Arabidopsis thaliana: one gene and its partners. The protein of the gene in region 3 interacts with the protein of the main gene of each other region in a pairwise test. Each region holds a gene or a part of one and is shown on either strand. Other genes may lie near its edges.

What was found.
Region 1: the proteins of ERS1 (region 3) and TRP1 interact in a two-hybrid assay, tested with the Arabidopsis thaliana proteins (one study listed by BioGRID).
Region 2: the proteins of ERS1 (region 3) and EIN2 come close enough for resonance energy transfer, tested with the Arabidopsis thaliana proteins (one study listed by BioGRID).

What each region holds. Positions count from the first base shown.
Region 1 is NC_003076.8:5,954,270-5,961,422, forward strand, and holds TRP1 (tryptophan biosynthesis 1), read left to right. Parts: upstream 1-2,810; 5' UTR 2,811-3,060; coding exon 3,061-3,278; intron 3,279-3,388; coding exon 3,389-3,500; intron 3,501-3,852; coding exon 3,853-3,996; intron 3,997-4,108; coding exon 4,109-4,270; intron 4,271-4,384; coding exon 4,385-4,657; intron 4,658-4,740; coding exon 4,741-4,831; intron 4,832-4,909; coding exon 4,910-4,969; intron 4,970-5,058; coding exon 5,059-5,177; intron 5,178-5,256; coding exon 5,257-5,412; 3' UTR 5,413-5,801; downstream 5,802-7,153. Other genes in the region: AT5G17980 (C2 calcium/lipid-binding plant phosphoribosyltransferase family protein), read left to right, coding at 1-2,476; VDD (VERDANDI), read right to left, coding at 5,802-6,038, 6,129-6,424, 6,528-6,816, 7,103-7,153.
Region 2 is NC_003076.8:784,324-794,156, reverse strand, and holds EIN2 (NRAMP metal ion transporter family protein), read right to left. Parts: upstream 6,730-9,833; 5' UTR 6,560-6,729; intron 6,027-6,559; 5' UTR 5,569-6,026; coding exon 5,320-5,568; intron 5,176-5,319; coding exon 5,089-5,175; intron 4,999-5,088; coding exon 4,888-4,998; intron 4,797-4,887; coding exon 4,584-4,796; intron 4,503-4,583; coding exon 4,317-4,502; intron 4,207-4,316; coding exon 1,546-4,206; intron 1,469-1,545; coding exon 1,091-1,468; 3' UTR 753-1,090; downstream 1-752. Other genes in the region: IDH-V (isocitrate dehydrogenase V), read right to left, coding at 1-114. UniProt on the Arabidopsis thaliana protein: Central factor in signaling pathways regulated by ethylene (ET) and involved in various processes including development, plant defense, senescence, nucleotide sugar flux, and tropisms.
Region 3 is NC_003071.7:17,083,821-17,091,186, forward strand, and holds ERS1 (ethylene response sensor 1), read right to left. Parts: upstream 3,507-7,366; 5' UTR 3,260-3,506; intron 3,025-3,259; 5' UTR 3,000-3,024; coding exon 2,094-2,999; intron 1,999-2,093; coding exon 1,630-1,998; intron 1,550-1,629; coding exon 1,283-1,549; intron 1,205-1,282; coding exon 1,077-1,204; intron 987-1,076; coding exon 815-986; 3' UTR 501-814; downstream 1-500. Other genes in the region: AT2G40935 (PLAC8 family protein), read left to right, coding at 1-143, 232-396; BZIP17 (Basic-leucine zipper (bZIP) transcription factor family protein), read right to left, coding at 4,003-4,430, 4,769-6,506. UniProt on the Arabidopsis thaliana protein: Ethylene receptor related to bacterial two-component regulators. Acts as a redundant negative regulator of ethylene signaling.

The DNA of each region.
Region 1 (7,153 bases), on a different chromosome or scaffold from region 3:
GGAATCAGATAAGAATGAAGCAGAGGCGAAACCCGTGGAGGAGCCACCGCAGAATCAACCAGATGGTGAAGATATTGTGCTTGAGTCAGAAGATACAATGAGTTGGGCTTCGGCGCCGCGATCACCGTTACCGGAAGTTATCATTTCAAGATCTGTATCCGGTTCCATACCCGAAACCAAAAACGGACCACAACCACTACGGAGAAGCGTATCGGAAACTGCAAGCTACACATCAGAGATCTCCGACGTATCAACGATCGAACGATCCACGTTTGATTTGGTGGAGAAGATGCATTACGTCTTCATCCGCGTCGTGAAAGCTCGGTCTTTACCAACCTCCGGGAGTCCAGTCACAAAGATCTCACTCTCCGGCACAATGATTCAATCAAAACCGGCTAGAAAAACCTCTTGCTTCGAGTGGGATCAAACGTTCGCCTTCCTCCGTGACTCACCGGATTTATCTTCCTCTCCAATTCTGGAGATATCCGTGTGGGATTCATCGACGGGAATCGAAACCAGCCAATTCCTTGGTGGAATTTGCTTCGACGTGTCAGAGATTCCGCTCCGAGACCCGCCGGATAGTCCATTAGCGCCGCAATGGTACCGTCTCGAAGGTGGTGGAGCTCACAACAGTGATCTAATGCTTGCCACGTGGACAGGAACTCAAGCAGACGAATCATTCCCCGACGCGTGGAAAACTGATACAGCCGGAAACGTGACCGCACGAGCGAAGGTTTACATGTCGTCGAAGCTGTGGTATCTACGCGCTACCGTGATAGAAGCACAAGACTTGTTACCGCCTCAGTTAACGGCGTTTAAGGAAGCGTCATTTCAGTTAAAAGCTCAGTTAGGTTCCCAAGTTCAGAAAACCAAATCCGCCGTTACTCGTAACGGAGCTCCGTCATGGAACGAAGATCTACTCTTCGTAGCCGCCGAACCTTTCTCCGATCAGCTTGTTTTCACGTTGGAGTATCGAACATCGAAAGGACCAGTCACCGTCGGAATGGCTCGCGTGCCACTCAGCGCAATCGAGAGACGCGTCGACGATCGCTTGGTTGCTTCGAGATGGTTAGGATTGGAAGATCCAAACGACGAGAAGAGAGGAAACAGATCTAGAGTTCACATTAGGCTTTGCTTCGACGGAGGTTATCACGTGATGGACGAGGCGGCGCACGTGTGCAGTGATTACCGACCTACGGCGAGGCAGTTATGGAAACCAGCGGTGGGAATCGTCGAGCTCGGTATAATCGGTTGCAAAAATCTATTACCGATGAAGACGGTTAACGGAAAAGGATCAACGGACGCGTACACGGTGGCGAAATACGGTTCTAAATGGGTCCGTACCCGAACCGTGTCGGATTCTTTAGATCCGAAATGGAACGAACAGTACACGTGGAAAGTATACGATCCGTGTACGGTTTTGACTATAGGAGTCTTCGATAGCTGGGGAGTATACGAAGTCGACGGTGGAAAAGAAGCCACGCGTCAAGATCTAAGAATTGGAAAAGTACGTATACGTATATCGACGCTGGAGACTGGTAAAGCGTATAGAAATACGTATCCGTTACTGATGTTAGTTAACGGCGGCGTTAAAAAATTGGGAGAGATAGAATTGGCCGTTAGATTCGTGAGAACAGCTCCACCGTTGGATTTCTTACACGTGTATACTCAACCGTTATTGCCTTTGATGCATCACATTAAACCGTTGAGTTTGTTTCAAGAAGATATGTTGAGGAACACTGCAGTGAAGATCTTGGCCGCACATTTGTCACGATCTGAGCCGCCTTTAAGGCCGGAGATAGTACGGTATATGCTCGACGCCGATACTCATACTTTCAGTATGCGTAAAGTCAGAGCAAATTGGCTTCGGATAGTGAATGTAGTCGCCGGAATGGTCGACGTGGTGCGGTGGGTTGATGACACCCGTTTCTGGAAGAATCCGACATCAACTTTACTAGTTCACGCACTTGTCGTGATGCTGATTTGGTTCCCGGATCTTATCGTACCGACATTAGCGTTTTACTTGTTCGTGATTGGTGCGTGGAATTATAGGTTCAGGTCACGTGCTGCTCTACCACATTTCGATCCAAGACTCTCGTTAGCTGATGCAGCTGATAGAGACGAGCTCGACGAGGAGTTTGACGTCGTACCGAGCAACCGACCACCGGAGATGGTTCGGTTGAGGTACGATAAGCTACGAAACGTCGGAGCTAGAGTTCAAACGATTCTTGGTGAAGTGGCTGCGCAAGGGGAGAAGATGCAAGCTTTGGTGACGTGGCGTGACCCACGAGCGACTGGTATATTCGTGGGGCTGTGTTTCTTTGTGGCGTTGGTGTTGTATCTTGTGCCGACGAAGATGGTGGCTATGGCGTCAGGGTTTTATTACTTCCGGCATCCTATTTTCCGTGATCGGAAACCTTCTCCGGTGTTAAATTTCTTCCGGCGACTACCATCATTATCTGATCGGCTCATGTAATATTGTTTTTTTTTTTGGAGGGGATGTATATATAGTTTGGGTCGTTTAACCTTGTTGGGCCTTATTGGGTTATAATGGGCCACTAAATGGATTTTTATATGATTTCCTATTATAGGTGCTGTGTTTGACCATGTCTAAAACAAAGAAGTGTTTGGTATGACAAAATTGATGAACCTACTTTTTGAGCAGAGTGGTAAATGTGCGGAAATAAGCACACAAGGAAATCGTTGTTGGTGACTAACAAAAGGAGTTATCCACTGCCCAAGCATTACCAACTACCACCAACCAAACTCAATTTGGAAATTTCAAAGGTCCATTAGTCAAAGCAGCATTAAGTCATTCAGTAATCAACAAATATATTCATATGAAACCCAAAATAAAATAAAATAAACACTTTTCAAGAAAAAAATAAAATACTGAGTACTAAACTGGAAACCCTTTATAAGCAAAAAGACCAAAAGTTAAAAGTTAATTAAGATTTGGTTTAAGGCGCTTTGCTTTATTAGAGAGGAAGGAACGAACCATCATAGAAATCTCTCCTTCGTTCAAGTTTTTCTCTACTGTGTTGGTTGAGCAATCGAGTGATGGTTATTGCGGTGGCGACGACGAGCTCCATTGTTTCCGGAATCAAGCTTTCAGGGATCTTAACTTCGTTCAACGCCGTAGATGATGCGTCCAGTAGTTGCGGAAGAAGCAACTTGACCGGAGTTAGAATTTTTCCGACATTGAGTCGGCGACGATTCTCATCGATCGGAGCTGTTTCCCCAATTCGTGGGGATGCTCAATCTTCCTTTAGTCGCAGGTAAAGCCTCGATTTTTGGGTTTAGGTGTCTGCTTATTAGAGTAAAAACACATCCTTTGAAATTGTTTGTGGTCATTTGATTGTGCTCTTGATCCATTGAATTGCTGCAGCTCTTTCGCTTGCTCTCAGAATCTCGGTTTGAGCGGTGGATTTAGTGCAGCTGAAGCTCTGCCACCTGCTTGTGCAAATGCTAGCCCTTCTTCCATTAAATCTTTCAACCAGGTGACTCTTCATTTCTATTTTCAGGATAAGTTTGTGGTTTGATGATCCCTTGTTTCTAAGTCTCTTGATTTGTGAACAATTCAGGGTTTTTATATATCTGTATCTGTATTTCTGAGTTGGGTTGAGTTATTGGCTTCATGCTGACTAAACATGTTTGGCCCTGTGTGTTCTTCGAATTTCATTTTAATTGCTTGATGGGTTTTATTGACTTGAGTAAAAGTGTACTACTTTATAGGTTTTAAAAGAGTTTTACTTTTGGTGATTTTCCAATGGCTTTGAAGAGAGAGATTTAAATCATGGGGTTACTATGTTCTCATACTGCGTTTGCTCTGTTCTGTTGTTTTTCTTTCAGTTGATTGAAACCTTGATTGATCGGGTTGATCTATCTGAAACTGAGGCTGAATCATCTCTTGAGTTTTTGCTGAATGAGGCAAACGAGGCGCTGATCAGTGCCTTTCTAGTTCTTCTGAGAGCTAAAGGAGAGACATACGAAGAGGTAAGTATCCATTAAGTCAATCTAGGCTTATAATAAAAAAGTATACATAATCCTATATTACTGCACTTCAATAAGTTAACTCAACGTTCACTTTAATTCGGATATTGGGTAGATTGTGGGGTTAGCTAGGGCAATGATGAAGCATGCCAGGAAAGTGGAAGGATTAGTTGATGCTGTGGACATAGTTGGAACAGGTGGTGATGGAGCAAACACAGTCAATATATCAACTGGATCTTCAATACTTGCTGCAGCTTGTGGTGCAAAAGTAGCAAAGGTATAACGAATGAGAAAATCCTTAAAAGAAACGATATATTTAAATTTTGACTATCTGCATTAATGCTAAATGATCTTCGTCTGGTCGTCTAACTAATGGATACTTATTTTGCAGCAAGGGAATCGTTCAAGTTCTTCTGCTTGTGGAAGTGCTGATGTACTAGAGGCACTAGGAGTGGTTCTGGACTTGGGACCAGAGGGCATTAAAAGATGTGTTGAAGAAGGGGGGATCGGTTTTATGATGTCACCAATGTATCATCCAGCTATGAAGATCGTTGGTCCTGTTCGGAAAAAGCTTAAAATTAAAACTGTTTTTAACATATTGGGACCTATGCTTAATCCTGCTAGAGTTTCTTATGCTGTCGTTGGTGTATACCACAAAGATCTGGTACATTTACTTATTGCTGAAATTAGTTTGTTCATCAACAAAAACAAGACATTTACTTACCATTTGCTTGTGTGGTTTCATAGGTTGTTAAGATGGCAAAGGCACTGCAACGATTTGGAATGAAAAGAGCACTGGTGGTTCATTCATGTGGTCTAGACGAAATGAGTCCGTTAGGTAAGATTATCTCTTCCCAAAATTGATTACTTTTATTATTGAACAATTATTAACCAATCATGGCTTAACGAAAAACAGGAGGAGGACTAGTTTATGATGTAACTCCGGAAAAGATCGAAGAATTCTCATTCGACCCATGTAATGTTTCCTCTAGCTTTTTATCCCTTCTCTAAAATGAATATTGCAGATGCAGCTTAATGAAATTGAAGCTTATTTCTTTTTGACAGTGGACTTTGGTATTCCTCGTTGTACTCTTGAGGATTTGCGAGGTGGAGGTCCAGACTACAATGCGGATGTGCTAAGACGTGTGCTTTCAGGGGAAAGTGGAGCAATTGCGGATTCATTGGTATGTTTTGATTTGCCGATTCAACATTCTCTGAACTTCTGCAATTTGTTCATCCTTTTTTTTCAAAATCTTGTTTCAGATCCTAAACGCAGCTGCAGCTCTTCTGGTTAGCAACCGAGTTCAAACGCTAGCTGAAGGAGTAACCGTGGCACGTGAAGTACAATCGTCTGGGAAAGCTATCAAGACGCTTGATTCTTGGATAAACATCTCAAACTTAGCTCAGAAATCTCAGTGACCAGAAGAGGCTTATGATATTGTTGTATTCAACGGATCACCTTTGCAAGCAATTGTAGATGAAGATGGAGGCAATGTGCCAAAGGAAGAAGCTGGAGTTATTTGTAACTTAAGTTTTCTTTGTCAAACAATAAAGAGAAGAGACCGGAGCGAGCTCTATACACATTCATCATGTAAACACTACAACAATAATCTTTAATAAAATGAATAAATCTGTTTTACTCAAACGGAGTTCAGATTCATCATTGGGATACAAATCAAACCTAAGTAGTAAGTAGAAAAACAAAATTATAAAATTAGTCCTAACATTGAATCACAGACCATAATCTTGTTCCGAAGTTCTTCACTAATTCTGCAACTACACCTAAAATATCATCATCGTCATGGTGTCTATTCTTTGGAGACTTTCACACGCATCTCTGTCGGTTTGATGAGCTTGAACGTACAAACATCTCCGACCAGTAAACCTAACTCCTTGGCCAAACGACTCCATCCACCAGAGAATCTTGATTGTACATCAGTGACCACATATGTAACATCCCATGACTTCTTTCCTCTCGGATAATGAATCTTGAACATCGTTGTCTCAGTTGGCATATGCATATCCACAAATTTCTTTGGGATCCCCTGAATCACAGATTTTCATTAGATTAATACACACTTTTATACATAGCCATTTCGACAGTGTGTCACTGGTCTTGTCTTGCTTAATCTTACCAAGAACAGAAGGTGTGATTTCTTTATGGTGAGCTTGAATTCTGGAATAAGAGATGAAGTACCGGCTTCAGAGTCGTTACTAACAGTTTCCACCTTCTTCTTCTTACTCGTCTTGGATTTTTCGGTTTTATCGGCTTCCTTCTTTCTCAAGTTAAGCTCCTGTTTCTGCGTCAATCTCCCACTTGTAGATTCAGCTGTTTTGTGACAAGGATGGCTCGATTCAGACCAAGACTCTATCTCTTCTTCCTTCTTCACATCTTTGTAGATGCTCTTCCTCTCTTCTCTCTTGTTCCGACCTGTTTGCATCAAAATCAACCACAGAAGTAACTAATGACTGTATTCTTCTTCTTCTTCTTCTTAAGCATAAAGAAAGCAATAACATAGATGATGAACACTTACCGGAACTAGAAGTAATGGTTTTTCTTGGTCTAAGCATCTCCGTACCATCTGCCTCGAATATGGTTACATTAAAGCACATATTTGCCTCATGAGTGAAAGTAAGATACTCGTTTTCACCCAAACCGTTGTCATTCACAAACTGGTTCCATCCACGATCTTCCATGTAGTGAAAATTTGGGTTCTTGGAGATTTTAACTTGCCATGACCTTCCCCATGGTACTCTTAAGACCATCTTAAACGATGAAGACTTGTCGGAGATGCTTCTTATCAAGTGATGAGGAATCATTCTCTTCAGAGAGGCAACAAAATCAAGAAATATGGAACATCAGGAAATGGTAAAATGAAGTCACATTCCTCAATTTCAGTGATAAGTACAGTAAATAAAAGTTTACTGATCGATGTACAGTCAAAATCCATTTGGTCCGATCCGATCATTTCACACATCAAAACTTAGTTAAGACCAAGAACAGACAGATCTAAGTTCAGGACACTACAAGAGACACACTGAAGAACCAATAGATTCGATCTTTAATTTAAGAAAAAAGGCTAATAAGAAAATAAGTGATAAGGCTTACCATCATTTCAGTCGAATGATCTTCCCTTCGAAGAATCTTGAAGAATGCTGG
Region 2 (9,833 bases), on a different chromosome or scaffold from region 3:
GCAGAAAGCCCTAGCGACAGAACTAGCCGCACCTGAGCTAGAGTTCACGGCTCCAAGGATCTGAGTCGATCGGTTTCCGATCAGCCGTCGCGCTAGATTTGCTGCCATGGTCATCGCTTCAAGCACCAAAAGGACGCAGCAAATGAAAAATTATTATTCGAGAGAGAGAAAGAGAGGACTTTTCTGCGTTGTGGGACAAAAGTTGTAAAAGAAGAAGCGAATATTTCTTCTTCCGTCAAAACGCTGCGTAGTTTCTAGGTTGCATTAGGTGAGTACGGAATTTAAACGGCACGAAGTGTTTCCTTAAACCCCAGGCCCAATAAAGAGTTGTTTTAAAATTGGTTTCAGCATCGGCCCAATTACATCTTATTTAACACACAAACTACATATATAGAACGTTTACGTAATACGTAAGTATTATTACGTCATCATACATACACTAAACCGGCTCCGGTGGCTTCTCCATAGCTTTATGCGGTGGTGCAGGTGCCGGAAAATTAGCCAACGGCGGTCCGTAGTGTAACTGCGACGTTGATTGAATCCCTTCTCTCCGGCCGATTTTTCGTCCGATGAGATAAAAGGCGATAGCGACGATCAGAAGGAGAAGAATCGCCGGGAACGATATGTAGATTACATAACCCATTGGATTAGTTACTCTGCTGGATTTTCTTAGTTCCCCAGAAATTTGAAGGACTTTATGAAACAGTAAGACGTTTCGAGAAGAAATATTGATAAGGACACGTGTCAGTAATCTAGCGTCGATGTGTCAGCTACGTGCAGAGATCCGGTTTAGGAGATTTAACATTTCAAACCGACGATTTCTTTATGATTCCGCATAGAATTACACAAACCGGATTCGGTTTGTAGCTATGGTCCTATGATGATGATATATGTATATAAACATAACATTACAACCAAATTAAGAAAAAAAGAGCGAAAAATTCTGAAGCAACAAAAATCCATTTTTTTTCTTCTTTTCTTAATACACAATTAACGAAGCAGAGGAGCAATCAAAAGCGAGAGTTTTGATTCTTCGGCTTCCCTCTCGACGTCACTTTGATCATGAGATTTCTCACAATGTTCTTCTTCTTCAACCCAATGATCCGTACGCAGTCACGTTTTTTCTTGAACCGGGTCCATCCTGATTCATACCTACTGGTTTATTCGATAACCGACGTTTATACCGCTTCAAAACCGAAGCCAAATTCTCTTTCCCCTTTGGGAAAGCCACATCACCTGCAGCTGTACCGGTTCGGCCTTTTCTACAAGAGATTGCCATTTCAACGTCTTTGATTAGATCAAGAAGTGTGACTGCGGTTGTGCATTTGCCTTTAGCCGGTTTTGCAGCCGGAGGTAACATTCCGTTAGCTGAAGTCGGACTCGCTCTCTGGTGGCTCGCTGGAATCTGAAGGCAAAAGCACGGTGTCATTGGTGTCCGCAGCTTTGAGAACGCCGGATCAATCACTCCCTGTTTAAATCCATACATGTCAATATTTTCAAACTGCAAAACTGTGATTTTCAATGAACTACTGCGGTTTTTGTTACCTGTAGGCGGTTGAGAACGTAAGTGTACTTTCCCCAAAGCTCAGGCCGACTCTCCATGAGAGACAAGTCAAGGACACGGTGAATGCACCAAACTCCAAAGCTCACAATCAAATCAGCTCTCCAAACGCAACCATCTCCACAGTTAGGAACCGATGAAATTAGTGGCTCCCCCATGTGACCCACCTGGTTTATTTCTCGAGCTTCAGCTTCATAGATAAACTTCTCTCGTGCAGCTACCCGGTCAATCAGTTCTTCATCAACTCCATCGCTTTGTCCAAACAACCACTCGGATCCTTCAAGTTTAATAAGCTTTAGAATACAGTGCCTGAACGACTGAAGAAGCTTAGCCTCTGCATCAACATTAGAAGAAGCGTTGTTGTCTATATTGATCGGATTCGATCTATTCCTGAGCTCCTCACCAACAGCACCATTCCTCTCCGCTACACCAAACTGCTCAAAGGGCTGTCTGGACCAAAGCGATCCGGTCCCTGTTGTTGCACTCTGTGGCAAACTGTAGGCATCTCTGTAGCCTCCTCTTGATTGAGAAATGTCATCATAAGTCGAGGGTACTCCCACCCGTGACCCCAAATTAGAATATAACGATGATTCATTGCTTAACCGACCATAAGACGCACCATACCCTCCTCCTCCACTTGACGGATCCCAGTATCCACTCTTGTTGTTTGGTAAATGCATGTTCCTTGCGGACATAGACAATCCTGAGATATCTGGCATGCTACTATATTTTTTCTCATTGGCTACTGCTGCGCCAACAGTATCAGTATTGCCAGAAGATGGAACACCGTAATAAGATCTTTCAGATTGTCGCGATATGCTTCTAGACCCAGCAAAATTCTCAAACCCAGGAGCTGGTCCAGGGGTTAGACCATTCTGGGACTTCTGTTTCAAGGCTAAAGCAAGTTGCTGTGTATAGCTCAATGTACCAAGCGCCATAGATCTCGATGTCGGGATCTCTCCACGGGATTGTAAGGCTTCAAGCCTTTCTTTTGCCAAATTGTCTACATATGACTTCATCTGGTATCCGTGAACTGTAGCTGGTTGTTGGTGTTCCCAACCCTCTGAAGATGATGGAGCACGCAGGCTAGAGTATCTTCTCTCACTCAATTCGTAAGCATTATTATTATTAGTGGTGTTACCATATGCACCCAACATCTGCATACGGTTGACCAACGGTGACGGTGACGAACCTCTTTGTAATCCATACAACGAATCGATACTTCCCGGTGTCCTCTGCTGCTTCAGTGAATCATATAAACTTGAAGTCATCTGTGAATCCATTCCCTTCGCAGTTGGTGACATGCAATATCCACTGCTAATGTCTTTTCCAAACGAATCTGCTTTCATAGAAGAGGCTGACTTTTGATCAGTGCCAAACAGCTGATCTAGTTTCTTTGCCCTGGCTTCAGCAACCAATTGCCCATGAAAATCATATAAATGTCCCCAAAATTCATCAAGGATCGCAGATAAGTGTCTCCGGGCAGCACGTCCCAAACCTTGCAACCGTGAAAGGCTTCCAGTCCCACTTCCCCCTTCCCCACTTAAGCTGCGGAATGAAGGAGGACCATCAGATCCGACAGTAAAGTTGCTTGTAGGAGCAGCTTTGGTAGCTTCTTCTGTTTCCCATGAAACCCCTTCAACATCCTTTTCAATAAACTTGCTGTTATTCTCCATGCTAACAATCTTCTCCACAGGACTCATTGGTTCAATTTTCGCCATCTTTGTTTCAACAATCAGATCCTTATCACTGACCTCATTAACCACTGTTGACTGCAATACAGACTGTTCCTTTACATCAGAGTCTTCCTTAAGACTACTAACTTGAGAGGTAGAGTACTTTACATCCAACTCTCTTTCCTCTGGAGGGCTCGAACGGATTTCTTGATCCGTCATTAGAATGTTCTCTGGCAAATCATAGACCGAGCTAGTAACAGACGTAGTATCCAACTGATCCTTTACCCTGCTTTCCAACCGCACTATTGATTCGTCTTCGTTCCTCCTTGTTTCTGTTCTTTCAATTTCCTCTTCTTGAACAGATGGATAAGATAAAGCATTTTGAGCATCCATGTTCCATATTTGAGCTTCCGCTCTGTTACTCGCAGATTTCAGCGGCGTGGCTGCCAGCCAGAGTATCAGGCATAAGGATGCACATGACGATACAAGCAGAGTGGTGTACTGAATCGAGGTGCCCATCACGGTATTCCATCTCAAACCACCAGCCCAGTCACTGCTCCCAAATACCATCTCAACAACAAAAACAACATTCAACCCCAGAAATCCCAAAAACGTTGTAAGTGCGAGGAACTCGCCAACCTGAGGGATTTTATGGACACCCATGATTTGTCTCGACGAAGCAATGCGGAAAAGCGGTATTACCGAGCAAGGAAGCATCATTGCCACCAAGACCTGGGTGAATATAAGTAACTGGTATATTCCGTCTGCACCAGATGTCCATACACAATAAAGCGCAGGAGCAACTGCAAGAATTCTGATTGTAGCACGATGAAGCCAAGCGGGTATTTCTATCTTCAGGAAGTCATGCAGGACGACCTCTCCACCGAAAGCCCAAGCTAGTGCGGTAATTTGACTAGAGAAGAACAAGAGCATCAAAAAGACCACTGGAATGAGCGGACTCATAAATACCTGTGATCAACAATCAAGAACAAGATAATTAATAATCACGAGAGATTTCTGAACATTTTCCCTAAAAATGAATTATAGACTAATACGAACATAAAACCGTCAGAACAAACCTGCTCCATTAGTGACAAGGCATCGTGAAAAGTCAGTACCACAAGGCCAGTACTGTGAAACACATTAGCTGCTGCATTCATCAATACATAATTTACAAGTGACAGTCCGCTGAAGACACCAAAGATGGCGAACAAATGGTCTTGACACAAGCTGCTCTTGTCGACATCAGACGAAGATGTACTTTCCTGTAATAGAGCGTTCACTGCTTAGTATAATTATTGCTTCTTAACAGAAAAGAGAGATACATATAAAGAGAAAAAAGGTACCCCAGCAAAATAAGAATGGATATAAAAATTGTGAGGGACGATGCTTGCGCCAAGAAGACCCATCAGTGCGAATGCGCTCTCTCCATTTAACCGAGTTAACACTCCATTCATAGAGAGTGGGATCTCAGACTGACTCAGCAAGACGCCAGATACATAGAGAAGTAATACCAGGCCTGCAGAGTAAATGGATACTGTATTTGCCATACCATTTTCCTGTCAGAAATTGTATGCATGTCAGCTAATTTCCAATAATGCTATTTCAAGAACGTGGAGAAAAAAAACAAGACAGGAAGACCAGTCATACAAGGAAAGAGGCGAAAACAGGAAATAAAAACGCATCCATGGCGGCCAAAAACACTCCAGTGGATAACTCCACCCCAAACAAAAGGTTAAGTGCATGCGCAACTCCCACAACCTGTTTATAATAGAGAAGCTCAAGTCAGAGGAATCAAAATTTTATCACATAATAAAAAAATTAAGAACAGCAAAGATTGTAAGTAACTACCATGGTAAGGTCGAGCAGAATTGCTGAGAACTCCGCCTGAATGCCCAAGAACATGCACGTCCACTTGTCATATTCTTCATTGCAGATCTGTCCCAGTAAAGAACATTAAAATGTTAGAAAAATAGAGAAGGTGGTTAGTAGAATTCCACTTTGAGAAAGTGACAAGACAACCACAGAGCCCAGTTTGTTATTTTAAAAAGTTTGTTCTTTAGAGATCAGAAAAATGTTTACCTGAGCCAAGTGTTTACCAGTCACAACGCTTATGCGAGCTGCAACATATTGGCATAAGATGGCGGCAAAATTGAAAAGCAGAGTAATTGCCACCAAGTCATACCCGAAACGAGCACCTCCTTCGATATTTGCAACCCATTTCCCGGGATCAATATATCCGACAGAAACCAAAAGGACAGGAAGTAGAGCAGGAACCATTCTCTGGATAAACCCTAGCTGAGGTCTCACATTCACAATTTCAGCTTCCATCCTAAATCTATCTGATAATATAATTACTCAGAGTAGGATTCAAGGTCAACTCTACAGTCGTGGTTCACTAAAAGCCTCAGTTGAGTAAAATTCACAGATTTGATCTAAAACACCTTCCCTCGCGAAATCTGATTCCCTCCAAAGCTAACACACAACAACGAATCAGTCGGTTCTTCTATCACCGAGGCAAACAAAGCCACTCTAACGCTTACTTGTTATACAACTCTGTACAGTCTTTCTTTACCTAATAATAGCTGAAGTTTCCTCTAGTAACCAGATGTTAAGTTAAGGACCAGACCTTCTTCTTATTTGCTGCTTCAAGGAGAGAGATCATACAACATTCAGCTAAGTTGGTCCAAATGGAGGAAGCCCTAACAGAGCAACCAAGAGCAGAACATAGACTTCCATATGCTTAACCACTACGGATATCTCCAAACCATTCGAAATCAGCTTCAGACCTGAATTTTTTTTTTATGGTGAAAATCTTCAGATACAGTAGTATTACAAATCAATAATTGATCTTAGTATGAAGCAGCAACAAAAAGAAGATAAGCTCAAAAAAAATACAAATTTCAACTAAACTGAAGCTAAAAGAATCGTAACGCTGACGAAAAGCAACAAAAATGCAAAGATCCCGTATGATCTACGCATTCAGATCTTCAAGGAAAAAAAAGGTCAACCACAAACCAAGTACAGTAGTAAAAAAGAAAAAAGCTTAAATCTCGCAATTAAAACAAAACCCAGAAACCGAAAACAATCCCGAAGAACTCCAAGTCTGGAAAGTCCAGATAATGAAGAGGGAGAGAGATCTAAGCTGAAACTACGAATTCGATCCACCTGATGAAATTATAAAAAGCTGGAAAAAAAACCCAGAAAGTCTCATTTGCGCAAAAGCCGAGGGAAAAGCTACAAAAACCCATGAAAGTCCGTACAAAGCCCCCCAGCAAAATAAAAAAAAAAACAGAGGATTAGGGTTTTTGAAAGAAGTCACCTTCGAAATCGCCATGATCGCAAGTTGACCTAACAACAATAGTCTCAGTGAGAGAGAGAGAAACGGATCTTCAAAAGAGAGAAACTCTTATCAAGCTACGAGAGATAGAGATAGAGAGAGAAAAGAAGAGGAAAGAGAGAAAGAGCTCAGTTCCATCGAAAGAGAGAGATAAAAGAAGATCGAAAAATCAATTATATAAAATATTTATATATAAAAAACGTATACATACATATTTGTATCTATAGGTCTGAAGGTTATGGGTGCTCGTGCCACCTTCAAAGAGAGAGAGAGAAAAAAAAAATTATTACTTGTAAATAACATGTAAAAATAAAGGTATTATTCTTTTTTTTCTTATAGCTAAAAAAACGTCTTTTTAAATAAATTTTCCAGGTTTAACATATAGTTTCTTTAATCCATCTTTATTAATCTTTTTAAACTAATCGTAGTTTATTCCATGGACGAAGAAGAGAATTATTATTACTTTAAATTTCTCGACCCCTCTTTCTCCTCATTACATGTAATAATAATACATCAAACAGCTTGATTATGGAGTTTCAAATGGAGATTATTTTACTTGATTTTGTGAAACGCTAGCTAAATTTATTTTTGTACTTTTGATTTGAGTAATACAAAAATGTTGTTTTCTAGCAATTTTTTTAATTTTTATTAAAAATTTAAAGGGACGGTTACAAAGCGAAAAATAATATAAACGTGACTAACTTTAAGAATACGAACAAAAAATAAGGAATCAAATCTTCTAACTCGCAAAAGATTACATGTGTCGAGAAGATTTGAAATTTTTTGTTACATTCGAGAAAAGTTTACGCGATTCTCGCATACTATAAAATTCAAATCTTAAACAAATAAAATTGTTTAAATATTGTATATATAACTTTTGGCTACCTTTTTATTAGAATTAAAATCCAAACATAATTTAGATCTATTTATCTTATATTAGAGACCAATGTCTAGGAATTTTTTTAATGATTTACTTATTTTAGTATTAAAACAATCTTTAAAATTTTACAAAAATACATGAATAGGTTCTATTATACATTTCAGCGTTCTGCAAAATACTGAAATTATAATTTTCCTTTTGCATAAATATAATAAAAGAGAAATCAAAAACTTTATTTGAAAATGACGTTATTTGAGAAAACTAACTAAAGTTGATGATACAATTAGGCGTTATCAAAAGCTGAAGTTGTTGACTAACGAAAATGGAAAAATAAATGAAGGCGTTAGTACCATAAATATGTAAAATCGGAAATGAGAACAGGATTCGACATTATACTCCACAGAATGCTATAAATAATACGTCTTTATATAGCAAGTTTTTATTTATTCTGCTGTATATGTATTAGACATCAATATTAATTGCATAGAACAACTATTTGTCAAAAATAAGAATTCATGGCCTTCCCTCAAATAGAAAAGAAACAAAACAAAAAAAAACATTTTGTTTTATTTGTCTTTTGATCTCAACTAAGAGCTTGATTTCATTAAATCATCATTGAAAAAACAAATACACTCTACTTTTAAACTAAACAAATATCATATACGAATTTCCATTTTATACAAAATATGTAGTTGGATACAAAATAATAGCTAGATTTTGTTATCACCAGTTATAATAAGTCATTAAGATTTGTCAATAGATTCCAATAAATGTATCATTTTACTAACGAAGAAACAGTTACTATAGTTAGTTAACTGAATCATATTTTAGTATGGTTATATTGATTGATCAAACCATCCTTAACCGAACTATCCAAATCACAAAATCAAACCCAAAACCAAAAGAAGAAAACAAATATAAATAGAATTTCTACTATTTTTGGTCAAATATAATCCACGTGTTCCTAATCATCTCCTACATCAATGGAAGTACAGCTTGGGCTTTCGATAACCATACATTGTACCTTACTATTTTTTCCAATTTGATTTCTTTAGGCTTTTTTTATGTAACTTGTCACTATATATTTAACATACTCAACATTATCCATATTCTCTTGTGAAAGTATATATACATGTACATTGGATAGGAAGCAAATTAAAACACAAGAAACTAAAATTTTGCATCAATGAAAGGAACATGGGCTCCTCTCAGTCCTATGTTGATGTATATGTTCAATGAACCATAACATAGAGACCACACTTGTTTTTTTATAACACTATAAATATATATAGAAACAATATTCTTCAAGTACTTTTGAAATAACACATACGAATTTTTTTATCCGTACCGATGAGTAACCAACACAATTTAAAAGTTTGACTGAATAAAAAAAGTCAGAATTCTTCAAAGAGTCAAGATAGTCATATTTCAGTTACATATGGAATGTATAATGATATCATACAAATAAGTTCTTTAATATGTTTTGACTAATAAATCAATTTCAGTTATTTAGTTTGGTCATAAGGAAGTTTTTTTTTTATAAAGTCTCGTTGATGTTGTTTGGGCAGTTAACCAAAAAGGGAACAAAGCTACATGGTACAGATCATTCATCAGCTTAAAGAATCTTTCTTGTCGATCTTTTTTTAACTAGATTGTGATCTTTTGGGCTTTGTGTCCAAATATTTATTTATTAGTACTATCAATCTATTAATAAAATGGATTTTTGTTAACATAACCTTTCATTAGTGTAAGGGACAATTTAAATTATTTTCCTTCTTGGTTCACTGAATCTCTCTTGGGCTTAAAACACATGGTGGGTGGGTTCATAAGAATTGGAGATTTGAAAATTTTAGTAATTAACCTCGAAACATGAGACGTCAGTTACAAATCAGAACTCGTTTATTGTTCAATTAATTGGTTCGATTCAACAAATGTTTTCGTTTAATCAAGTGGGTTTTCTTTATTTTTGTTCTTTTTTTAATGTATGTGAGTTATTACGTGGAGACCAGAAGAATAAGATCGAATCGGGGATGTTTTAGGAGGAGACATATGAATTTTAAGTAACTTAAACAATTCGAGATTATGTAATGATTTTCTATAATTAAAGATTGCTTGGCTCAGGACTTTAGATCGAAAGTTGTAGCTCAGACAAATGTTTTTGGTAGTAAATTGAATCGATTTGATCTACACATTCAAACCAAGAAAAATTGATTAGTAATATAAGTGGTAGCTAGGTCTTTCAACAACCAAGTGTTGCAATCGATATTAGTGTTTAGGTTGGCCCAACAAATAATAAATTTAGCTTGGGTCTACGTAACATTTTTAGAAAAATTGAAGGCAAATGATCTATTCTATAATCGGAAATGTCAAAACAGC
Region 3 (7,366 bases):
TAACCCATTGCATCTCCTGGGCTTTGGTCAATACCATTTGCTGCTTTGCAACTAATGGCGCATTGCTCGGTCTACCGGGATGCTTTGTGTCATGTTATGCTTGCGGGTACCGCAAATCATTAAGAGCCAAGTACAATTTACAGGTTAGAATTTCTCAAACGACACATATGTGGATAATACCATTAGGTATGTATGTGGCGCTTCTGACTGATTTAACATTCTTTGATTCAGGAGGCTCCATGTGGGGATTTTGTAACACACTTCTTCTGTCACTTGTGTGCCATTTGCCAAGAATACAGAGAGATTCGAGAACAAAGCAGTGGTTCATATCCTCTTGACATGAAGATGGCTATCACCAATGCCCCCTTGGCTCAAACCATGGAATCAGCTAACTGATCACTTTGTCTCATTGAGCTTCCTTGTTTATTTTGTAGAAGACATTTTTCTTTTCATCGACTTTTGCAATGTATTTGAGAAGTTTGATGAGTAAGTAAAACTTTCTAAGGTAATTTATCATATATAAAAAAGAATTTGTGAATCTGCCACAACCACAAAATGTTGCTCTTTTCGTGAAGATTTATATCGTTTATTTAGTAGTGAATTCCAAAACATATTCTCTAAAGTAATGTTCAATAAAATATAGTGAGAACAGATAAGGTACCTCTCCCCGTATATAGGATTTTTATTTTACATATTACATCCAACAAAATCCAATAAGTTAGATCACACCGTCCGGTCATGTATTTTCTTCTTTCTCTTGCTGCTGTGTAGTTAAAAAGTCTCACCTCAATACAAGTCTTTCCAACGTAATGTATCACCAGTTCCACGGTCTGGTTTGTGATTTAGCTGCAAGATGTAGCGCCATTGAACCACTGCTACTGCTTGGACCGTTGCAGATACCAAGCCTGATGATGAACGAAGCTGTGCAGCCTTTCTCTAGGCCTTCACTTTCTATCCACATGTATCCTCCCATTAGCCCGACAAACCTAACCAGAGACATCCATCAACAGAAACTTGCCTTTTAGCTATTTGTAACACCATCTGCTTATAACTTATATATACTTTTGGGTTGTTACCGTTTACAGAGAGCTAGCCCGAGTCCTCCACCGGAATGGTTCCTCTGAGTTCCGGTCCGAGGCTGTACAAATTTGGTAAAGAGCAAAGGAATGTCTTGTGTGTGAATTCCACACCCTGTGTCCTTCACCTGCACCATGATTATAACAGTAAGAACACAGTAAGAAGCTTAACTTTGTAGTTTAGTAATTTGTAGATTGGGTCTAACCTGCACACATAGGTAGAAGTGACTGTCACTGAGAACTGGAAAAAATTCTGGAGATGGTAATTCTTGTAAGGACTCGGGTTTCATGATAGAGGCTATTATGGAGATGTAGCCTTCCTTAGTAAATTTCACAGCGTTGCCCATGATGTTAAGAATTGTTTGCATCAGACGTTTCTCATCACCAATAGCATAAGTTGGTAAGTCTGCAGACAGAATCAGATTCGTTGATAGTTTCTTCACTGATGCGATTGGCTTTATCAAAGAGATGACCTGCAGATTCAAAGCGCCCATGTTATTCATGTAAGACATATATAATGGACTTCACTGGTTAATCAGGGGGATTTAGTTACCTCTTCAAAGATCGCTTGTAGACTGAATGGTTCATTTTCCAAGAGTAAGCTCCCATCTTCCAATCTCGAAAGATCCAGAACGTCGCTGATTAGTGTAGCCACAAGATTGCTGCTTTTCAGTATTGTCTCGATCATAACTCTTTGCTCTGGAGACAGCTCAGTCTCAAGGAGAAGAGAAGAAAGAGAGATGATGGCATGCATCGGTGTCCTCATCTCGTGGTTCATAACAGCTAGGAAATCATTTCGAGCATGTACTGCCATCTCAGCCTCTTGACGAGCCTTGTCTAAAGCAAAATTCTGCTCCATAAGCTGGTCACGAGCGTGCATGGATTCTTCCAAAATTGCAGCATGTGAGAGAGCCACAGCCACCTGAATGAAGTGAGAGTCAGGGGACAAAACAAAACACTAAAAGCTGGTAAAGCAACTTGACACACAACCAAACATATACAAGTAAAGAGATGGACCTGATCCGCCACGTTTTCTACAAGCTCTAACTCATGGTCTCTCCATTTTCTTGCACCATCGGTTGGGAGAATCAGGACCATGATAGCGTAACCTTTGCCAGAGAGATCCGACCAGTCACTGCCTTGGAAATTAGAGAGATGTAAAAGAGGAACACGGACAGAAACAACCTCAGGAGGTGAATATCTCCCAACCGGAGGCCCAATCTTAGCCAAAGGACAAGAATGAGGTATGTGCATAGCTTGAGCGCTATTGAAGAGTTCATTAATAATCGGGAGATTTATCGGCACACTGCTTCCAACTTGTATTTTATGACTCAAAGTATGAGAAAGCTGCAAATATAAACCACTTTGAGAAGGCATCCACAACGCACATTCCTCAAGACAAAGAGTTTTACCAAGCTCAACAAGAGTGGTTCTTAAAATAGTATGCCTATCAAGAGTTCTTCTAATTCCATGAGTAAGCATCCTAACATGCCTACCAGTCTCCTCTTGTGTTAAAATAAGACCCATTTCTCTATCTAACTCATCAGCTTTCTTCTTGAGAAACAATTCCCTGTTCTTAACACTGAGAAGATCAGGAATAATATGAACCAACATCAACGCGGTAGCACACGACACAACCGCGCAAGAGACTTTAGCAATAGTCATGACAATGGCAACGGCTTTGGAATGCATGAAGAACATCCATAGGTTGATGAAATGCGTAGCTCCACAGAGAATGATAAAGGCTCCAAACTGCATAAGCACCCATTTGTAAGGGAAGAAAGCAGACTTTTGCACGAAATAGATAAGCTCGAGTGGGATTGAGAAGTATGCAAGAGCAATCAACGCATCTGAGATGTATTGGTACTTCACTAACAGATCATCTTGATTCACATGCGTCTCAAAACAATCGCATGACTCCATTTTTGGAGCTCTGACTTGTGTTGACCTGGTCAACAAAACTCAGATATCAGTGGAGACTAGATTTGGACTAGAGCTATGGAAAAGAGATACAAAATCTATCCAGAAAATTGAATCTACAAAATGAGATTGATTCCTCGATAACACAACACAGATCGATCAGATGAAATGTTACTAAAGTAGTGAAATCAATCTTCATCGATAGATAGATCCGATCAGAAGAGAATAAATAGAAAGTTTGTTATCCCGAGACGGCACAGTACCTGGAAGAGAAGGATTCATGACGGCGGAGCTATTGGTGGTGTGAGCCTCATAGCTTTGGGTAATGATGAAAAAAAGAAAGTTCAAGTTCGTCTTCCTGATTGATCCGAGCGTTATGAACTTGAAGAAATGAGAATCCAAGCGTAACAGTGTGATAAAGAAGAAACCAATGAGAGGTAAAAGTTTTTGATGATTTTTTTTTTGCAAAGAGGGAAGTTCACGTGTTATAGGCCTACTTGTTACATTTAAATAATAATATTATTAGCTCTCTTTTTCTGACAATGAAATAAAGAAATTTTAAAAGTGAGCTCAGGTTCATGAATCTGAGGGTTCATGCTAATCCAATTCTCTCTCCGTCGACCTTCAGGTAAAGACTTCTTCTTCTGTCACTTGTGTGCTCATATTCTCCTGCTATCACCGATGCCCCCTTGGCTCAAACCATGGAATCAACTAACTGATCACTTTTGTCTACTTGGATTTCAGCTTCTATTGTAGAATGACATTTTTTGGTCATCGACTTTTGCAATGTATATGAGAGGTTTGATAAAACTTTCTAAGGCTATGAGTTTATAAAAGGTAAAAAAAAAAAGTTACAGCATTCGGATTCTACATCTGGAAACAAAAACCGGACAACGGTATTAGCTAAGGATATTACGTGATACCAGAGAGCAGGTATTTATTCTTTTACATACAAAGCCTATATGAGAGAAGACCTGCTGATATATGTTTCAATCCTCATATGTCTTCAAGTGGTCACAAGATGAGGAGCTCCTGATCGAGGTAGGACACAGGAGTATGTTACATACTTTGCACTGTCCAGAAGCACGACTACAAAAACTCGAGACAGTGATTTTGGTCCCCCAATCATCCCATCTATATCTCCATCACCTCCTTCTCTGGGATCAACAAGCACAGATACAACCATTGATGAAGCAGGCTTGATTTCTTTGCTACTGCTGTTTCTTTGGTGCTCTTTCGTGAGGTTAAAATCTGATCCTGGGAGTGGAATGGGAAGACCACGAAGGATTCTTCTGTTCTGTTGCTTGTGTGTGTCTGTGGTGTTCTTACCGTGTTCAGCAGAGACGTTGGTAGCTGCAGGAATGATGGCTCCAGAGGTTGAGGATACATCAAACTGAAACACTTCAGTGCACATCCCTGAACTAAACATGGGACCTACAATATAGTCATTTAACAAACAAAAAAGGTGTTATTATTTAGTGAACAAGAAAGATATAAACGCTACTACTGCGCTTACAGCTTCTGCCGAGAAAGATGAAGAAAAATATACAATATGAGTAACAATTTCACATGTTCCTTATTAGTGTTTAGTATCTAATCCAGATTATACAATACATCTACTCATGACCAGAGATTTGCTGAAGGTAAGTTAAGCCTCATTAAAATGTTCTTGTGTCTAATATCAAGATATGATAAGGACTAGTATACCTACAATGCCTGCCTACATAACCAAGTCAAGGGAACAGAAAGTAAGATCAAAAACCCATGATTACCTGCAACACCTTCACGGAACCATTGCTGCATTTCACCGTTGGCTGCTTTTGTTTTGACTTGGTCTTTCAGAGTATCAGCAGAGCCAGAGGATAGAGCTTTCTGTTTTTCAGCCTTAGATCTATAGAGATGCTTAGCCAATTCCTCTGTCCTTCCCACGTCAGGTAGAGGCAGTGCAGGGGTATAATCTTTAGAGATCATCAAGTCAGCTTTCCTCTCCTTTGATTCAGAAGCCTTTCTCGAAGCCACGGCTTTCTCACTCGCCAATATAGAATTGATAATCAAATTCCCATCTATCTTCACAAGCTTGTCATTCCTCGGAACAAAGAGTGATGCAACTAGAGGCTCACTACCATTTCCAGGAGTGACAGAACTCTCTGTTGCAGATATATTTTTCCTAGCTCCTCGATCAGAATCTCTCCCACGATGCATCCCATTACTATTAGAAACCCCAGTACCAGCACCACTACGAGATGTATCCAAAACTCTATCCCTATGCTGACTGTAAATCTGGTCAGTAATATAATTAGATCTATAGTTCCCATAAAAAGCACCACTAATTCCTCCATAATTAACGTTCACAATTGGAGCTAATGCACCAAACAAAAATAGACAAAACAGAAGACCCAGAAAACTAATACTAGCCACCTTCTTGGTCTTAGCTTCACTCTTCTTACTCTCGGACTTCTTAGCCTTGGATGTTCCAAGGGTGTTCTGTGGTTTCAACCTAGGAATAGGAATCAAAGGCACTTGAGATCCTTGTTGCTTCACCATATAAGGAGGACAAGGCATCCATGGATAAGGCATTGGAGCCATAGGTGGATACATTCCCATCGGAGGTGGTGGAAGATGCGGCGGGCACATTCCATTGCCACCCAATTGCTGCCTTAGAGTAGCATTCTCAGCCATGAAATACGATATCTTACCGTTCAAATCCGTAATCGTAGAATGCATATTCCTAACCTTTTCTTCAAGCTCCTCGACGTAATGCTTCTTCCTCTGCCTAGAAAGCTGAGCACTTTCACGGTTTCTCATGAGTCTAGCTCTCTTTTTCTCATCTTCTTCACCGGTAACAGCACTAGCGTCAGCATCCTCTCCCGATCTCCTGTACTTACTGTTCCTAGACTCGTCAGTCAAATCCTCATCGATCTCTTTCTTCCTCTTGGTAATAGACGTCGTCGTCGTAGCAGCTTCTTCCACTTTAACCTTCTGGTCGACCGCAACGTTTCTCGATTTAGGCGACGATTCATTTGTAGCTTCCGAAACATCAGAACCGCAATTACCCGAACCCTGAGAGGACAATGGAGTCGGTAGATCTAAATTATGGTCAGCACCGGAGCAACGATCATCGGAATCTCTAGGAGATTCCCGGTTAATGCAACCGGAAGTTGTAATAGTCTTATCTGCATCTTTGGGAACAATACAATCACCGGAAATTCCAGAACTTTCAGACTCCGGAGTGAAATCACCAAACTGTTCTTGATTGGACGTATTGATAGGGATGAGAAACGACTCATTCTCAGCAGGGAAGTAAAGATCGTCCATACCGTCGAAAGTGAGCTCGAATTCACCATCGGGAAACCCCAGATCGGACATTAGTTCACCAATCGGAGTCTGATCGGAGAAATGATCATCTAACGGAGGGATCGAGATGGAATCAAAATCGGACGGAGGAGGGTAGGTGGAATTAGGGTCCGGAGCAGGTGGAGGAGGCTGCTCCTTGGTGATTGGTTCAGCCATTTTGAAACTGAGTTTTAGGGTTAGGGTTTCGAATTTGGGGATGAAGAAGAAGAAGGAGAGATTCAAAAGGAAGAAAGGGGTTATGGAGGAATGAGGTTAGAACACGGGAGAAAGACGACGAGGGGTTTAAAGACAAAGAGGAAGAGGAAGTAGAAGGTGCTTGCTTCCGTCTTCGTCTACTGCGCGTGGGTCTTACGCTCCGGAATCATACTCGCTAACTTACACTAGTGATTCATGAAACTTATAATATCCAAAATTAATCGCTTTCCAAAATAAATGATAAACAGCAAATCTAGAAAAATAAATTGGGAAATTTATTTTGAATAACACTTTTCCTAAGAGTAGCTAAATTAAATTTTATGATGTGCTAGTGGGTTTTTTAATTTTGAATTTGTTTTTGATTGACTATTATATATGTTTAAGATAGTAAGTAGTAATTTTGATCTTCAAAAAAATATTAAACTGTTATTTTTAAAGAATTGACTTAATAGTTCATTTAATATTTGGGAAAGCAGATTTAAATTATTATTTTTTTTTCATAAATTAGGATATCAGTTTTAAGATTTCTTTTAAATATATAATTGACTTAATAGTTCATTTAAAATAATTTACGTAAATTACTTGGGGAATATATCATTTATCTCCCAAAAAATAAACTTAGTAATAATTTTTCGCGATTCGTTATATATCTTTTTTTTTTATATAATTACTTTCTTGATTTCACAAATCTCAAATAGATTGCGTTTAAGGTGACTGCAAAGATATGAATTTCTCACCATACATAATCTCTACAATTGTCTTGATACCAAACTATACGTGTTTCGTAATCGAGGGGGCTATAAAAGTAAAACAAAGCATAT